Diceros bicornis minor: one gene and its partner. The protein of the gene in region 1 binds, or shares a complex with, the protein of each later gene. Links are inferred from orthologs where the notes say so. Each region holds a gene or a part of one and is shown in the gene's direction. Other genes may lie near its edges. The genes, in order: DDX46 and HTATSF1.

Region 1 (9,463 bases):
CATTCTTGAGGACCTGTTTTTAATTCCGCTTCCTTCTGAAATCCTTCTCTGTGCTTTATTTATACATAAAAGCCTGAACTAATTTCTGTCTCCTTTGAGCCACCATGCCACACATTATCCATGTCATTCATTTAGAAGTCTTTTATATCCTGTCTAGTAATGTTTATCCTGTTTTTGTCTTATGCTGTTGTATATATCTTAAATTGTTATTTGTCTTGCTTCCAAGATAAGACTTTTTTTAACCTTTGATAGCAAAAATGGTCTTTTCCCTACTGTCTAGCGGTTTGCTGCTTTACATATTATATCCTCAGTAAATGTCTGCTGATATATTATTGATTGATGTTTTGAAACTTCATTAACAGTTTTGAAATCAGTTAGGCAAAAATATACTGATAATGTTTTTATAGAGCTTAAGGAGTCTTCTGAAAGCTGTAAGATTTATTTAAGTCTTTTTCTATACAGAGTGAAAAGAAGATAAAGACAACAGTACTAACAGCTGCACTTCTGTTATCTGGAATTCCTGCTGAAGTGATAAATCGATCGATGGATACCTATAGCAAAATGGGCGAAGTTTTCACAGATCTCTGTGTCTACTTTTTCACTTTTATCTTTTGTCATGAACTGCTTGATTATTGGGGCTGTGAAGTACCATGAAGCCTGCAGAACTCAGAAGGAGAAGCTTAAAAAAAACAATTTCTCTTCTATATTGCAATGTCTTTAAAGAGGCAAATCAGTTTACACCTTTATGTAATTCTTTTACTTTATAGGGGTTGTAAAGCCACTTGATTAGGATTGGCATGGCAGGTTCCCTGATTTAAAAGGGTTGAGTTTGTATTAATAATGATGTGAAGAATAGAATACCATTGTCATTAATTGATTTTTCTTGTTTAATTAGAATCCCTAGTCCTACGCCTTTCCCTAACTTCTCAGATTTGTAATTCTTCTTTTGGGGGCTGACCTAGTGCTTTTAGGAGAGCAGGTGAATGTGGTCTCAGCCAGCCCCAATGACTGTATCTTGTGTTTGTGTTGTTCTGTCTTAAGAAATGGAGCCATCTTAAAAATAAAATGAAAGAAACGGAATTGTCTAATGTTAAGTCTGCACATTTTAACTTATAAGAGCTGAATAAGGTAGCCAATTTTATCTTTTCTTGTTGAGTCAGTATCTTAATTTTTATTCCAGTGCAAATATTTAGTGGAAGAAATTATTAAGATTCATACGTGTGAAATTAGAAGGTATTTATGAAATCTTAATTTATATTTATGAAAATTTTTATTACCAAACTCAGAATTGGAAATTTACACTTTTGAGTTTTCAATTTTCAGAAGTGTGTTTTTTAAGCAAACTAGAATAGAATGATTAGATATAAAAATGGGATTTGAAGAATTGACTGAGGTATACAACCCAATAGCATAAATATCCTTTTAACTAACTTGGTAACGCTGTTATATTTGGAAGATTTGTCTTCTTAAAAAAGTATAAAACATAAGTGTTATATTGCTTGGTATTACATTTCCTACAGATTTTTGTATGGTCTATTTGATTAATCTTTGTAATATTAAAAACATATACTTTTTTTTTATTACTCACAAAGTCTTGGTTTTTGGCATTTTATTTTGAACCAGAATAATGGAGAATAAGTATAATAATTTAAGTCTGTTCTGTTGACTTAGGTTAAGATTATAAGCACATATTTTTCCTGATTCCATAAGGAATCTAGTATCTAGAGGATTGGAAAGCATCCTTGCATTTGTCACTTTCTCCCCAATCCCTGGGAAGACGCTAGAGGTCTTCAACTGCACGTTTACTTCTTTTGTTTCCTAAAGAAAAAAGCCCCATTTAGCCAGTTGACATGTGTAAAGTTTTAGTAATTGTAGATCATTATCCAATTTATTTCAAATAGAAGAGCTGTAAGATATATCCGTGTCTGTCAATGCCGCTTTTTCTCCTCAGCTAATTGGCATCTTCCTGATCATTTGCTTGCATCTCTCACCAAGAGTGTTGAATAATATCAAATGGAAATGGAAATTTCTTAGTGTTTGGAATAATTAAAAAGAATATTTTATTTAGAAATTTCAGGGACTTGAAATGTATATGAGTTAAACTAGATTGACAAGGATGGTTGTTGAGAGGTGACATCTTCGATCAATAGCTTTTTAGTCTGATTAGTTGTATAAATGGACATGTGTACATCACAGTTGGTACTAAAAACAGCAAGAGGATCATGACATACTCAGAACTGGGTTAATTAGTCAGAATCAAAATCTGCTTTGGAAGCCAGGGCAGTTTGCTAAAAGTGATATATTGGAGACATAGTAGACTATAATTACTCTTAGACCTGTGGTAATAGATAAAGCAGCTTCTTCCAGGACGTAGAAGTGCTGTGAACTTACATAAATATATTGTGGGCAGGGCCAGCCCCAGTGGCCTAAGTGGTTAAGTTCAGCACGCTCCCCTTTGGCAGCCCAGGCCCAGTTCCTGCGTGCGGACCTATACCACTCGTCTGTCAGTGGCCATGCTATTGTGGAGGCTCACATGCAAAAAGAGGAAGATTGGCAACAGATGTTAGCTCAGGGCGAATCTTCCTAAGCAAAAAAAAAAAAATATATATATATATATATATGCATAATATATGTATTATAAATACATATATAAATATATATATGTGGCATAAAAAGACAGAATTGTCATGTGAATGTGACAGGATGTGAAGACTCATCCCCTTCTCTTAAAGGGGAGTTAGAAATGAAGTATCTTGGAAAGAGCTATGGCCTGGGTATCAAATGCCTGGGTTCTGGTTCCAGCTTAGATTCCAAAAATATGAGTGATTGAGGATTAAATTAGTTTCCCGAGTCTCAGTTTTCTTGCTTAAAATCAAGAAACTTGAGTATGTGATTTTAAAAATCTGTTCCAGCAGTAACATTAACTTCTACATGACCTTATCCATTTCCATGGCTTCAAATACCATGTATTATTATACATTCTGTAAAGTGCCTCTGATTCTTACCTTTCTAACCTCTATTGCTCCCTTGAACTCCAGACTCATATACAGTAGTCCCTCCTTATCCGAGGGGGATACGTTCCCAGACCCCCAGTGGATGCCTGAAACCACTAATAGTACCGAACTCTATATATGCTGTTTTTTCCTGTGCTACATACATATTTGAGGTGTGACAGCAAAACTAGCACAAATTTCTTTTTCCTTCACAATTTCACAGACAGAAGACTCATCCTTACTGTAGATCTTAGCCAACCTCAGCATACAAGTTTTTTCTTTCCTTATTAAGTTGAAAACTTTCATCTTTTCACTTACAGGAAGTACTTTACGGCTTCTCTTTGTCATGTCTGAATTGCCAGCATCACTAATACTGAGATTTGGGGCCATTATTAAGTAAAATAAGGGTTACTTGAACACAAGCACTGCAGTACTGTGACAGTCGATCTGATAACCCAGATGGTCACCAGAGGACACTGAAACCTAGGAAGGAGAAACCGCAGATAAGGGGGGACAACTGTATTCCCTTATGTAGCCAGTATGGCCTGTATATCTAGTAGACATCTCAAACATCACATCACTGAAACAGAACGACTGATTTTTCTCTCCCCTCCCCCCACCAAATCTGCTGCTCCCACGCCTTTCTCATCTCCCTAAATTCACAACAATCCATAGTACCTCTGTTCAAAACCTGAGAGTCATCATTACTCCACCCTTTCCCTCACAGTTCACACTCAATTTATCAATTACTGTTTGGAGTGCTGCCTCCGGAATACATCCAGAATCTGACCACTTCTCAGTGTCTCCGCTGTTTAAGTAACCAGTGGTTTCCTATTTCTTTTAGACTGAAAACCATACTCCTTACCTTCAACCAACATACAAGCAATTTACAGTGGCTCTGATACCTGACCCTCATTGGTGTCCATTTTGTCACATAATCGCTCAGGCCTACCTTACCCTTGGGGTGGACTGCACTGCTGCCGCAGGTGGGCAGTAAGCCACAGAGGAAGAGTAGAAGCTTGTCTTGGAGTCTTAACTCGGTTTCATTTTTTTTTAAAAACCAAATTTCTTGAGGTAAAATTTACATACAATAAAATGCATCAATTTAATGTGTACAGTTCAATGAATTTTGACAAACGTTATTTTCAACCAACGACCGCCACAATCAAGATATAGAACTTTTCTATCATCCTGATATGTAAGAAAGTAAAATAGTACAGAGGCATGTAAATAGGAGAGCTTCTCCCCAACTCCATTACAGCTTTCTGCTTAAGCAACTCAACATTTTTGTGTGTATTCCATCAGGCAAGCGGTTCTCAAGCTTGACTGTACTTCAGAGTCCCCTAGGAAGCTTGAACATTCCCAATGCACAGGTAGCACTCCAAACCAATTAAATCAGAATATCAGGATGGAACACAAGCATCTGTATTATTTTTTTAAAGCTTCCAAGTGCAAGCAATATTGAGAACCATTATAATCTTGAGAATGTATTTTTCGCTCTTCGTCCTCTTCTCAAGTTAACTCCTACTCAGTCTTCAAATCTCACCTCAAAAGTCACTTCCTCAGGGAATTCTTTTTCTGAACCCCTCTCCTACGGTGGAATCTCTTTCTTGTTGTATTACAACTACTTGTGTTTTTAGTAATGTCTATATTCCCCCTAGCCTGTAAGCTCCCCCGGATCTAGCGCATGCCTGACACGTAACAATATATATAAATGAATGAATGTATAAATGAATGAGAGTGAATGGAGATGTTTGTAGCATCTCTTAGCGCAGGTTAAGGCAGACGTCAGTACACGTCCAGGACAGCTCGTGGATGCACATGGCGCGTTGGTGGACCTTGCAGAAAACACTCTCCCAAAACCCTCAAGGCTGATGCGCCGCCCTCCACCGCACCAACGCGCGGGGGCTTCCCTGGCCGTGCACAGAAAACGCGCCTTGGCACCGTCTGTCTGCGCGGCCGGCGGTGTGCGGCCTCCAGCCGAGAGGCGGCGCTGTGGAGAGGCAGCAGCTTCCGGTCCGCTTCTTCCTTCCTTCTGCCGTCAGCGCCAGCGCGTCCTGTTTTCGTTGGCCGCGCTCGGATGGCGGCCGCCGCTGTAGCTGCTGCCTCCGCTTAGTGCTGCTTCTCGCACGGCGAACCGAGGGCAGCGCGGCCTCCTCCTTTGTCCGGTTGTCCTGCGCGTGGTCCTGAGGGGCGCCCCTTCTGGCGGCCGGCAGCATGGGCCGGGAGTCACGGTGAGGTGGCGCGGCGGGCGAGCGGCTTCCTGAGAGTGGGGGAAGAGGCGGGAGTTGAGGTGGCCGCGGCCCGGCGCGGCCCCACGTGCGGCCAGCGCTGCCCGCGGCCACTGGAGGGGCTGGGAGACCTCGGCTGAGGAAGTGGCTGTACTTGGGCTGGCGACGGTAGTGCCATCGCTGGGTTCGAGCCCCTGGAGCGGGAACACCCCTCCAGGACATCAGTGGTTGGGCACCACATCCCGCCACTTCCGCGGAGCCTGCCCTGGTGGCCTCGTCAGTAGTGATCCCAGTTGAATTTCTTACCGCTTCGCCTTTGCAACATTTCATTGGAGCCCATCGCTCTCTATTTGAGTTCTTTGTGCGTGTGTGATATCTTCCCAAGTCAGCTGAAAGGAGCGTGTGGACAAACATTTTTACATCACCTACACCACTCTACGTTTCTAGGCTTTTATTGGGCTACAATAAATACTATTGCATGGACATTTATTTTGCAAATAGACCATATTTGTTATGTTTTCTATCCTTTTTAACCTGTGGACTGGGAGGTCTCATTAGAACTATGATATCTTTTCAAAACTTGAGATCGTTACCTGGTTTGGGACTTGGAGATTTTTATCTTAAGGATGGGTGTTTACTATGTATTTAGCAGTGACTGAAAGATCCTTTGTATTTAGGTTGTAAATAATTAAGTAATAGTACTTTATTGAGGTAAAATTAACATTCAGGGAAATGGACGAAGCTTAAGGGTAGAGCTTGATGAAATTAGCAAATATATAAACCGTGTAGTCATCACCTAGGTAAAGATAAACAATATTTCCATAACTGCGGAAAATTCTTGTAAAGGTCTTTAACTCTCTGTGAAGGCATTGCTGTTCATCTGGCCACCCAGACCAGAAACCTAGGAGTGATCTTTATTTGATTCGTTCTTCTCTCTTACTGCCTACATCCTGTTGGATTCTGTGCTGTTTCCCCATTCCTACTGTCTCTGTCTTCAGGCCCTAATCATTTATTGCTCAGACTGCTACACCTGCTTCAAATTGATTATCTCCTCTGATCTTGCCCTCCTAGTAGATCTTCACACTGCAGCCGTAGTGATACTTCTGAAATAAAGCTAAGATCGTGTCATTCCCCTGCTTTCCTCTCCATTGGTTCTTGGTGCTTCCAAGATAAAGTCAGACTCTTTCAGCACGGCCTTAAAGGCCCTCCATGAGAAAGTCCCTTCAGCCTTTTCCCCTAATTCTCTGCCTCGCAGGGCCTGTACTCTAGGTTTGTTCAGGGCATAACGAAAGGCTCAGAGATGGAAAAGAGCAGGTTGTTGGAGAAATAAATAGATCCTGGTTTGCCTCCATATATAGGTTTCATGAAGGGTTGAAAAGAAATAGTGGGAGGTAGATTCTGAAAGGGACTCGGGCCCAGAATGTGGATGAATTTGTAGCTGTAGTTTTGAGGATAAGAATTTATTTGGGAGCCTTTGAAGAGTTTGAGTAAGAAGTGTGTGTTTATGTGTATATAATAGGATCAGAACTCTGCTTTATGAAGATTACCCTAGCAACAATGAGTAAACAGGTTTAAGGGAAAAGAGAGTAAAAGCAGGAAGACCAGGGGTCTCCTAAAATGTCCTACGTAGATAAGTCTGATATGGAGTAGTGACAGTGGGAACTCGGAGGAGGCAGTGTATTGTGAAAAGAATTACAGAGGTGAGATTGGAGATACTTGGTGTTTTATTGGTTGTGTAGAATGAGAAAGAGAAAAATACTGAAGATAAGTGGTATCTTTGAGCCAGCTGACTGGAATTGGGGATGATAAATTGGAGAGGGAAAGGTAACAGGTTTGGGTTTCTACACATTGAATTTCAGGTACTTGAGGGATAAATCAGGTGTCCTCATTCCCTAGCAGTCTTATCCAGATTTATTGCTTTAAGTAGCCTTTGTACACTGATGACTTCCCAATTTATATTTCCTTCATGAACTCCAGACTCATATTTCAACTACCTACTGTACATTTCCACTTGGATGCCTAATATCCTGATTTCCCACCTTCCCCCCAAATCTGCTCCTCCCTCAGCCCACCTTAGTAAATGGCAACTTCATTTTTCTACTCGATCTGCCAAGTATCTTGGAGACACGCATGATGTCTCCCTTGCTTTCACACTTGACATTTAATTAGTCGTTAAATCCAATCAGCTTTAGCTTCAAAATATCCAAATGTTGACACTCTTAACGGCTCCACACTTGACATTCCGATCCAAGCCACCATTATCTTTTACTTGGATGATTGCTATAGCATTCTACGTGTTTTCCCTGCTTCTGCCCTTGCCTTCTTTCTGTTTGTTCTCCCCTCAGCAGCCAGTGTAAGGCTTTAAAAACATTAGTTAGGTTATTTCACACATCTGCTTAAAATCTTCCAGTAGCTTCTCATCTCATTCAGAGTAAAAGAAGAAGTCCTTATAATGGCCTATAAGGTTCTCCACATTTGGCTACCCTGCTATATCTCTGACCTTCTCTCGTGCCACTTTCACTCATTCAACCCTAGCTACATCTGCCTTCCTTGCTGTTTTGCAACACGCCAATCAAGCTTTCTCCTCAGGGACTTTGCACTTGCTGCGCCTTTTGCCTGGAAGATTCCTCCCCCATGTCTACGTGGTTCCTTCCTTTACTTCTTTCAAGCAATCAAAATGTCACTTTATTAGCAAGGCCTTGTCTAATCACCTAGTATAAAATAGCAAACCTCCTACCTCTCATTCTCTTTTTCCTTTATTCTGATGTGTTTTTCTGCATAGCACCGCATGACATATTGTATATTTATTTTTTTCCTTTTCTGTCGTCTCTTCCTTTACCACAATGCAAGCTATTTAAGGCCCAAAGGCAGGAGCCTGGTCTGTTTTGTTCACTGTCCTTATTTCCTTTTCAAGACAGTACCCATCCCCCAACATGTGCTATAGCTATATTCTTTCCCCCTAATTTTAAAGAAGTGTATGTATAAAGTGTCCTTTCAGTGTTTAATTTGTCTGCTGAGATTTTTTTTGAAAAATGTAATAAATATAATAGAAGCCAACTGTATTTGCTAAGCTTAATCTGTAACTTAACATCTCAGCCACTATCGGAAGCGATCGGCTTCACGGGGACGCTCTGGAAGTCGATCTAGAAGTCGCTCACCCTCAGACAAAAGAAGTAAACGTGGAGATGACAGACGGTCTAGAAGCAGAGACAGAGATAGAAGGAGAGAGAGGTCTCGTAGTAGAGATAAAAGAAGATCTCGGTCAAGAGACAGGAAGCGTCTGAGGTAAGACATTAATCTCCAGAGGACCCATGGTAAATTGGGCCTTCTTGGCTAAATTGTGCTTCTTTGAAAGTGTGTTTTGGACTAGAATTTAGTGGCCCCTTTTGCAGGCCCTCTGCTTTAATCCCAGCTTCTTTGATTAGATCTGGAAGTGATTTGCATAGAACAAAGACTCTCTCAAACATTATTTTAGGTTTGGAAACTTTAGGCTGTATTTCCTGTAATCCAAAGAGAACCCTTGAAGCCCCCTGAGAAGTTAAAATAAGAAGTAAAACATAAGATAATATGCCATCAAGGGAGTTGTGTTCTAATTCTGTCCCAAGAGAGCTGACCACTGTGTTCAGAGCAGCTACTAAAGCTGACAGAAGAAGGGAACAGGATGGAGCCATCTTCAAGCCCTCCTTGCTGTTTGAAACTATTTTAAAGAACTGTTTTAGATTTAAACTGAGGAACACCCTAATTTTTATTTTACTTTTACTTGATTACATATTCCTTGATACGAGTCAAGTAGTCATAACCTTTCTGGAGGTGAAACACAGTCTTTAAATAAAAATAACCTCCCTGACACCAAAAAAATTTCTAATGCAGTTTCTCATTAAAATAGGAAAGAAGACAAAGTTGTACAGGTGCTGTGAACTGATCATAGAACTTTTTTTTTTTTTTTCGGTGAGGAAGATCAGCCCTGAGCTAACATCCATGCTAATCCTCCTCTTTTTGCTGAGAAAGACCGGCTCTGAGCTAACATCTATTGCCAGTCCTCCCCCTTTTTCTCCCCAAAGCCCCAGTAGATAGTTGTATGTCATAGTTGCACATCCTTCTAGTTGCTGTATGTGGGACGCGGCCCCAGCATGGCCGGAGAAGCGGTGCGCTGGTGCGTGCCCGGGATCCGAACCCGGGCCGCCAGCAGCGGAGCGCGCGCACCCAACCGCTAAGCCATGGGGCCGGCCCTGATCATAG
Region 2 (9,496 bases), on another chromosome or scaffold:
CTGCTGATGCAGTGAAAGCAGTTTTGTATAGCACCTATTTTTTAAATTAAATTAAATTTTCAAGAATTCCACAACACTCCTTGAGATAATTGGAAACATCCTAGAGTATCTCAAAACCAGGGGTGGGAGTCTCTGAATTAGAGCTAATGAGACCAAGATCATGGGTTACCATGCCAATTAACGTACTGTATTCTATAACCACAGGCTGCCTTCCTGCACATCCCAGCCAGTTATCTCACAAACGCACGTTCAAAGGGACACCAGCCTGTTAACTGTAAATTTCTATGTAAATCTAGAGAATAGCTTTTTAAAATCTCTGTCAGCTAAATGATTTTCTATTTTTTGCCATTTTTCTTCCCCCCTATAGATTGAATCCCGGAAGAGAATTGCCAAAACGGTATTAGTGCTGGTGGCTCTGTTTGCTCTCTGCTGGTTGCCAAATCACCTCCTGTATCTCTACCGTTCATTCACTTATCAAACCTACGTGGAGCCCTCTGCCATTCATTTTATTGTCACCATTTTCTCTCGGGTCCTGGCATTCAGCAATTCTTGTGTCAACCCCTTTGCTCTTTACTGGCTGAGTAAAACCTTCCAGCAGCATTTTAAAGATCAGTTACTCTGTTGCAAGGCAGAGCTGCCTGACCCTCCACCTGCAGATACCCCTCTGAACAACCTGGCTGTGATGGGACGGCTCCCTGGTGCTGGGAGCAGGCAGGTGTCTGAAATTAGTGTGACCTTGTTCACCGGGTGTAGTGTGAAGAAGGAAGACGACAGAGTCTAGCTTTTCAATTAAAAATGGTATTTTTCCTCCCAGCGTGTGTATCCGACTCTGAGCTGTGCGTAGGTGTATGGTTGGGTTTGTGTTGTTTGTGAATTGTGCTGAAATCTTAGGAGTGAGGGATCCTGATAAGTAAAAGACAAACTGATTTTCTTCAACGTACAAACATTAACGTCATTGGGCTTTCTAAATAAAGTGAAGCCTCAGTAGGTATAGAAAGACATATTTGCATACGTCAGTGGGTAGTAAGGGAGGCTGAATAGGAGGGAAGGTAAAATAAACAAGATGACACTTACAACTCTGATTTGTTTCCATCACATCTATGATGCTTATTTCTCATATACTCCTGTGAGTTGCATAAAACTGTGTTTGTGTTTATTATGTGGTGTAAATCTAGAGATTATACTTGCATATGAAAAGGGGATCAAAGAGAGATAAAACATCTCTTCTGTCGCTTTCTTGAAAAACAAAATCCTAAAAAATAAACCTTCACAGGTTTTTTGACTGCCCTTTTCCATTAATCTCTATTCCACTAAAACTAAAGCTGTGCATTGCAAGGCAAGTGTTTTGGGGTCAGCGAGTATAAAGTACAATACTGAGTAAGGATCTGGGGCAGGGGGCTTGCCTTACTGGGTCAACACTTACTGACTTAATGTGGTTCTACTTACAACCAGCATTGATTGATAATTGGGCAAAGTTATCTTTCACAAATATTGTGAATAACTTGCCTTATTCACAGGCAGAATAAGTGGCCACGTTTACCGCGTCATTTGAGGGCTCCAGGGAAGGACCTGTGTTGAAAAATGTGCAAGCCTACCAGTGTCTGAAATTTTTCCTCTAAGGAAATTCCTTTCTTTCTGGTAAGCAGTGCCCTCTTTCTAAAAAGTGCAGAAGTACCACAGGAAATCCCTAACACCTGGGTGCACAGTTGTTATCAGATCATCTTTCTGCTTGACTTCATTAAACTTGATGGGTGCCTAAAACCTGTAAGAGTATGACCTAATTAGTCTCTGCCCTTGGAAATCAGATGGAAGGTTCTGATTTTCTCTCCTCTGCTCCTACTTGCTAATGCTATAAGCTTGTTCATAACTGTTATTTCAAATAATTTTTGTCAATAGACATAGATTCAGATTTGTGGTTTCAGAAAATGTTTTCTTGTGGCAAATTAAAGCATATGTTTGGCACTATAGGTAGTTAAATTTGTATTTTCAAAAACTTGATTTTGGGGTGTGCTTTTGGTAGTTTCGAGCTTTCTTTAAATGGCTTGTGTAGTTGTGAACTTTTGCTAATCATGTGGCTCAAAAAGGGGATATATATTAACACTAGACTTTACATTTCTGTAAAATCAGTTTAGTCAAAGTGGGGGGGTGTTAGTATTGTATTTGTATTGTTTTAAGTTGGACATTGTAATAAGGGGGGAAATAAATAAATGTGAAATAAAGTTTTAAATGACTATGTAATTTTATATTCTAAAAACAATACTTCCAACAGAAGATAACTGAGAACCCATTTAACTCGAAAATTTAAGTGATTTTCAAGTCACCAAACTCCAAAATATTTGACTGTTTTCCTCACTCTGGGTAAAAATTACATCTTTACTCTCCTAAGCATAACAGTTTAGAAATAACTTGATTAAAGTACCAGATTACAAAAGCCAAGAGAGCCTTTTAGCAGTTGATAAAGCTAGAGCTCAAAGAACTTTCATTTTCTTCATGCTCAGTAATCCCTACGTGACTTAGGGATCTGACATAAAATAATTCTCTAAATGATCTTATAGGGCATCAGCCTCCCATCCAGAGTTGGGGAATTAAGATTAAAATTCATGGCTTTGATTGGATTTTTTTGGAGGGAGTGGTCTCTTTTTTTAACAGATTATCCTTGTCAGAACTAACCATACAAGTAGGCCCCAATATTCACAATTTCTTTCACCTTGCCTATTGTGGTGCCAGAAATGTTACTCTGGAAGATTTCATTTCTTTGGAGATGGTCCTAAATGGGTGGAGAGGTGGGACACATGAAAAACAAATTTTGTATACTTCTCAACTTTGCTCGGGGTCTGCCATGACCCAAGACTTAGAATGATGGACCATAATAATATGCTACCAAGCAGGAAAACAAAGCCACAAAACATACTTAGGCACAACCATAACGTTCGATGGGCAAGTCTTCGTCACTGAAGCTGAAAGCACTACAAAATATTTAACACTGGCATACCTAGTGAAAATAGCAAATTTGGGTTTAAAGAATTTCTGCAGTTATAACCATCTTAAGTCAGGGATCCATCAATCATTTTGTCAAACAGAGTTACTTTTATTTCCACTAAGTCTTGAGATTACAGAAAGTGGGGACAGGAAAATTCCCGAACAGAGTAAGCTTGAATGGGCCATTAAAAAAAAATCTAGTTTGGTATAGCTCAGTAGTTTTCCAGAAAGAGTTCCTACGCCAGGTAGGTGACTTCTCTGACCAAGAGATCTCTGCTTTGTAGGTTATTATATTTTTATCCACTAAGAAGGCCTTGGCCTATTAGATCAGGAGTACAGCACAGATCACCCCTTACAGAGGTCAAAGAGAGAAGGATGAAGGAGATACTCAGAGAGAAGCCGCTGTCCAGGTTCTGAGACTGGTTCGGCTTCCTGGGTCCAGCAGCCCCTCATGTGGCCCATCTACAGTCCAGGCCTGGAATTTCAGGAGCTACTCTCTATCTTCATAATAATAAAGCTCCCTCGTTTTTGCTTGTTACCTTGAGTGTTTCTGTGACTTGCAAAAAAGCTCTCTGTCTTATGAAGACAGAGATACTTCCAGATTTCCTCAGTTACTAGGGAGTTAATTCTATGACTATACAGGGAAATAACAACAAACAGGAACCAGCCCTCATAGAGACAACAGCATTGTTTAAAAAAAAAAAAAAAACTGTCAGGTCTCGTGGCCAAAGAGAACGCCATTGTAGGTACAAGTGTGCTTAGCTCCCAATTCCACTGCTGCACTATGATGGTGACTCAGTGACCCTGTCACTGCCTCAGCTTCTGCTCTCACCACTGGGGAACTTCTCCACAGCAGGCCTCTGTTCTGCTTATTACCCTCCCTGTGTGGCCCTCCCCTGCTTCTGTGCTACTCTGACCATGTCCCTGTCCTTCCATATTCATTCCTCTCCTGGGGAGACGCTCTTATTGGCTCAGTCAGTTAAATTTTGTCTAGAAAGCACGGCTACCCTGCCAGGTCCCCTCACACACCTCTGGACAGCCTTTGGGTCAGGGTGGCTGGGCCCCATGGGACGTAGGCATAAGGAACCTTTTTGGCCACCTGCTCAGAGGGGCCCGTGGATATAGCAGGCATTCAGAGTGTCACGTGCAGTAGGGCTGTATAGCATATTATCACCTATGCTGTGATCTCACTCAGGAATAAAATGGGAGCCCAACAACACATTGCTGAAAACAGCTGTATGCTATTTCTGGAGCCAAGAAGAAATATTCAGCAATGCTTAAATGAACCTAACAAAACTGATGTTATCTATATTATAAAAATGCATGCAAGTGCAGTTCTCCAAAAGTCTCCACCAAAACAAGAACTCCATGAAAAAGAAATGTAATTAAAAAAAAAAAACCTAAACTCAAGCTACTACTTAAAAATCGTTGTTATGGTTAAAACTATATTCACACAGCTAGTATTTGGGGAGTTAGGATTTTCTAGAACCCATACTCAATCGCTATGTTTAGAAGCAAAGGTCACTAGAAGAGTAAAAAGAACTTCTTCTGGGAAGCTTTTCCCCACCCTCAAGTATGCATTATGAAATTTATGTTTACACATAATGAGTTTATTGTTAGTTTTAAAGGAATTAATATTCTTTTAAATAGCTGTTTTAATTTTAGTGTGACAAATATTGATAAGAATGATTCACATAAACAAAATCTCTTTGAGGTCTTAAATAATTTTTTGAGTGTAAAGGGGTACCAACACCAAAAGGTTTGGGAACCGCTGTTCTCCAGCGTCCAGTTCTTCTATCCTATCATGTCCCAGACAACCTAAGTGTGTAACCCCCGAGCTGTGCCTGTCTTGCTGACTGCTGGCTCGCCAGAGCCTACTACAGTGCCTGGTACCTAGTAGGAACCCAATAAATGCCTGCCCGATTAAAAAATACAGACCTCTTCATTTTCAGCAATATGTATAACTCCCGGGGAAAAAGTTCTGTTTAGAGGAAAAGCATTCCGTGTCTTTCCAACAGAAAGACAAAAAATGAAGTTAGTCGGCCAGCAAAGCTGGTGTTTATACTTGGATGTTTACATTTAAGTTTCAGGTTTGCAGCTTGAGCATCTCTGAATCATGGAGCATGAGAGGTAGGCAACTGCTGCCCTCCCTCCCTTTCCACAGAGTCCATCTCCAGCCTGAAGAAGGTACCGGAGAGAAAAAGGAGGGGATGAGGCTTGGAAAAGAAGGTTGGTTCTTCTACCCATCGTTCCTTCGTTCATTCCTTCACTCACTCATTCAGTACGCGCTAGACCCCAGACCCTGTGCTAGGAACTGAGGCTACCAAGACGCAGAAGAGCCGGCGCCTATCCTAGAGAAACTATAAAGAAACAAGTAAAAGACTCGTTTCCCACGCGGAGGAGGGGCCTCTGGGCGAAGGAGGCGCGTCTTTTTCTCAGCAAGACAAACCTGTCCTGTCCGCCCCATCCACTCCCCCAAGATGGCGGCCGCCCGAAGCGCGCCGCGGCGCCTGCCCAGTGGGAACATTCCCACGCCTTCGGGCTACCGGCCCGGCTCGGCCCTGCCCGCCGCGGACCCGGCGGAGCCCGAGGTGCCGGAGGTACCGCTGCCCCCTGAGGCGGCCCGGGCGGCCATTATCACGCGGCACCCCCGGCGCCCCGCCCTCTGGCCCCCGCACCTCTTGCCCGCGTCGGCGCCTGTTGACGCCACGGTGGGCGTGTCGGCGCGACCCGCGACGTCGCGACGCGCCTACAATGGCGACTGCGTCAGCCTGAGCGGGCCTCCGTTTTCAAGTAATTTCCTGACGTTGCCGCGGGAGCCGCAGTCGCCTCAGACCCGGGCGGCGGCGGCGGCGGCGGCGCGCGGGCGCGCAGCGTTCGCGCCCTGGATCGAGCGGCGGCGCCGAGGCCCGGCGGAGTGAGCCAGGTGGGCGGCGGCGCGGCCGGGCTGGGAGCATCGACGCGCGCGCGGCGGGCGGAGCGGGGGGCGGCGCGGCCGCGGAGCGGCCCCGATTTCCCGGGGGCTGCTGGGGCGCCGCGGGGAGGCGGGCCGGGGGACTGCGGGGCGCGGGCCGAGCGCAGCCGACCGCCTTTTCTCTGTGCCTCTCCAGCGTCATTTCGGCCTCTTCGCTCGCCTGGACCCTGCCCTCGGGCTAAGTCGGCAACATGAGCGGCAACAACTTGGATGGCAACGAGGAGTTTGATGAGCAGTTGCGAATGCAAGAGTTGTACGGAGACACCAAGGACGACAACACCCAGAAAGATCCCGGCGGGGAACCCGATTCTTTCGGGCAGCAGCCGGCTGACACCCCCTACGAATGGGACCTGGACAAGAAGGCTTGGTTCCCCAAGGTAAGAGAGTGGCACGGGCGCCACTGCAGAGCGGGCCCGCCTGGCCAGCCTCGCGGGGCGCTCCTTTGACGTTTTCTTTGCTGAGGTCCTAGGTTAGAGCCCGCATGGATAGTGACGTTTGTTTTGTTGTGTCTGTTGCAGAACCGATGTGTAAAGGAAGCTAAATCTTTAGGAAGATGTCTTAAATGTATTTAATTCTTAAATCTTTTCTATGCCTTATTAATATTACCTGTGAAGGTCACAGTTGGTTATTACATTGGTAACTGCTTTTTGTTGCAAAGAGGAGAAACACCAAGCTCAAATTTAGTAGCTCAACTCATTTATCCTAGGAATGCAGATGTTTAGCTTATATACTATGTGCAAAATGCAGCTTCTTGATTGGGAAAAAAAGAGTAGTCATTTAGAAATCTTTACTGATTGAACTTTGCACCTCTCTTTACTTTCCTATTAAATTTTGTCCTTAGACACAAATGTTTGAACCATATAACCATAGGAATATGAGTAGAAGTGCACAGAGTATGGATGGAAAAATCTGTGTATATTTATTTAGAGTACTTGGACATTGTTAATTATTTTGGTTCAGCTTGGAAGTAAAATAACTGGTGTTAAACTTGGTTCTGTGAACTTTTCAGTAGAAGTATCCTGGTAACCAGCCTCTTAGGGTTGGACACGAGGATAACCATAGCACACTAATTGACTTGCAAACCAGCAATACAACCGTGTCTCCATTGTGTAATTTGACTGTTATTTAAAAGATTATTTCAACTTCTCTCTTTCTCATTTTGTATTTGTGTATATATTCCCTTCCCTCCAAATTGTTAAATTTTTTATTTCGCTTCTGTCCTGGTAGTGCCAGCTCCAGTGCAGACTTGGTTTCTTCAGCCTTCTGAGTAGTTTTAACAACAGTCTGGTAATGGACTAGTTTGTGACTCTATGTTTTTAAGTTATGAAAGCCCATACCTCTTCAAACTTTGAGTTTAAAATTTTCCCCATTCCTATGTATGTTTAACATTGATCAGTATGAAGATATAACTGCATTTCTTTCATTGTGCAATTGTGCTTTTTTTACCTAAAAGCCAGGAGGATAGATGTGCGTTGGGTTTGTACTTAATTTGTTCTGACACTAAATGATAATGTGATTTAATTAGTGATAGAGTTAGAATAAGCATTTCGTTTTACAATTGTTAGCTCTGTTCTTCATATACCAAATCACAGTTCAGTTCTGTGTCTTCTTTGCATACAGATATTTAAAAATTTAGTGTACATGTACTTTTGTGCATCTATATAGTAAAAGAAAAATTGATTCTGTTAGATTATTACTTGACTATTGCTTTTTATTTTTATTGTTACCTGATAGTTGCTTTGTTCCACGTACTTGTAGCCTTAGTCAGCTAGACTGTAGAGAGGTAGTAATTTATAAATGAAACAACTAGAAAGGTGCCAACATCACTTAAAATGCTTTAGTAGTATCTCAGACTTTTCTTTTGATAATCCAAGTACCCATTTCTTATTTTTTATCATTTTATGCACAGTTTTCTATATAAGGTGACTATTCTTGCATTTACACTTTAATTACGATAACTATTATCTACAGAAGCACTTCTGTGTTAACTTGTATAACTGAATGTGCTGTAATTTAACACAGCATAAACTTTTTATGGGAGGGAATTATTTTTTAATTTCTGTATGTGTGTGGACTAAATTTCTTGTTTAGATCACTGAAGATTTCATTGCTACGTATCAGGCCAATTACGGCTTTTCTAATGATGGCGCGTCTAGCTCTACTGCAGATGTACAAGATGTCGGCACTAGGACTGTAGAGGAACCTCCGCAGAGACAGACCCCTGAACCCAGTGATCCCAAAAAGAGGGGAGAAAAGAGAAAGGCCGAATCAGGCAAGTGGATTTAGCTTGCAAAACATGAGTGTAACAATTAAAAATTGTGAGAGTATGTATATATAATTACTTTTTGGATAATTATAATAGCTTTGAAGGAATCGTAAGATGAGGATTTTTTAAGTTATTATTTGGGTTTATATGTTGGCTCTCACACTAATTTGTGAGTATTAGGTAGGCTGTTTCACTTCTATGCCTCAGTTTCTTCCTTTGCAAAATAGAACTATTATTAGGGGATTATCAAAAATTCTGTTTGTAAGATTATTTTTTTGTGTTTAATTAAATTGAACTCAAGTCAATCTTGTTTCATCTTGGCCATGTCTGACACAGTAGATTGGAGTCAGAAGCAACCTATGCATGCCAGGGCCTAAAGTCAGTGCAAGGATGAGTTTTTGTTTTTTTTTTTAAGTTAGTATCAGAATCATAAAGAACCAAGATAAGTTAGCCATCTTTTTTCAGACAAGGCTCTGAAACTATCTGTAAAAAGATCCAAATCTTTGAAAGCTGGACTGTGATTTGAGTTAGTCTGTCTTGTTCTAAAGGTAAGGAAAAGTTCCTGGAAGTTTTGAGAAACTGCCACGTTGTCAAGGTTTCATATTATGACTCTTACCTTTTCTTGCATGTGTTTTATTTATTTCATTTTGATTTTTAGGATGGTTTCATGTTGAAGAAGGGAGAAATACAAATGTATACGTGTCGGGTACGTATACCTTTTTAAACAAATTTAGAATAGAAAATATTTGATGAGATTTTTTGTGAAGTGATTTTGTTTTCAGTTTCTCTAAATCTATTTTTTATCATCGTGCCAATATTTTTAGCTGTTTTAATTAGCAGGGAATATGTTTGTTATTTATTACAAAACTAAGAAAAGTTATGTGTATGTAATTTTGCATGACATCATTTTTGTCTGATTTAGGTAACTTATGGTGCTTTGCCCCTTCAGGTTCAGTGATACAAGGCCTAAGCAAAGCATAATTTAATGTATACAGTCATGTGTCGCTTAACGATGGGAATACGTTCTGAGAAACGTGTCGTTAGACGATGTTGTCATTGTGTGAACACCACAGGGTGTACTTACACAAACCTAGATGGTATCGCCTACTACACACATAGGCTTTATGATACTTATGTTATGGGACCACTGTCATATGTGTGGTCCATCATTGACCAAAATGTTGTGCGGCACTTGACTGTGTTTGAATACATTAAAACATGAAATTTCCTCAGTTCTATAGATGTGAGATTTTTACATACATTTAGAAAATCAAAAT

What was found.
Region 2: DDX46 (region 1) and HTATSF1 share a complex: the UniProt entries of both Homo sapiens proteins name them as parts of the 17S U2 SnRNP complex. The link is inferred for Diceros bicornis minor from reciprocal best matches to the Homo sapiens genes DDX46 and HTATSF1.

The regions. Positions count from the first base shown.
Region 1 is NC_080740.1:53,802,589-53,812,051, forward strand, and holds the start of DDX46 (probable ATP-dependent RNA helicase DDX46), read left to right. Parts: upstream 1-5,075; 5' UTR 5,076-5,210; coding exon 5,211-5,227; intron 5,228-8,320; coding exon 8,321-8,509; intron 8,510-9,463. Other genes in the region: guided entry of tail-anchored proteins factor CAMLG, read left to right, coding at 463-654. UniProt on the Homo sapiens protein: Component of the 17S U2 SnRNP complex of the spliceosome, a large ribonucleoprotein complex that removes introns from transcribed pre-mRNAs.
Region 2 is NC_080781.1:124,126,967-124,136,462, forward strand, and holds the start of HTATSF1 (HIV Tat-specific factor 1), read left to right. Parts: upstream 1-5,722; 5' UTR 5,723-5,905; intron 5,906-6,089; 5' UTR 6,090-6,144; coding exon 6,145-6,330; intron 6,331-8,044; coding exon 8,045-8,225; intron 8,226-8,877; coding exon 8,878-8,925; intron 8,926-9,496. Other genes in the region: BRS3 (bombesin receptor subtype-3), read left to right, coding at 368-781. UniProt on the Homo sapiens protein: Component of the 17S U2 SnRNP complex of the spliceosome, a large ribonucleoprotein complex that removes introns from transcribed pre-mRNAs.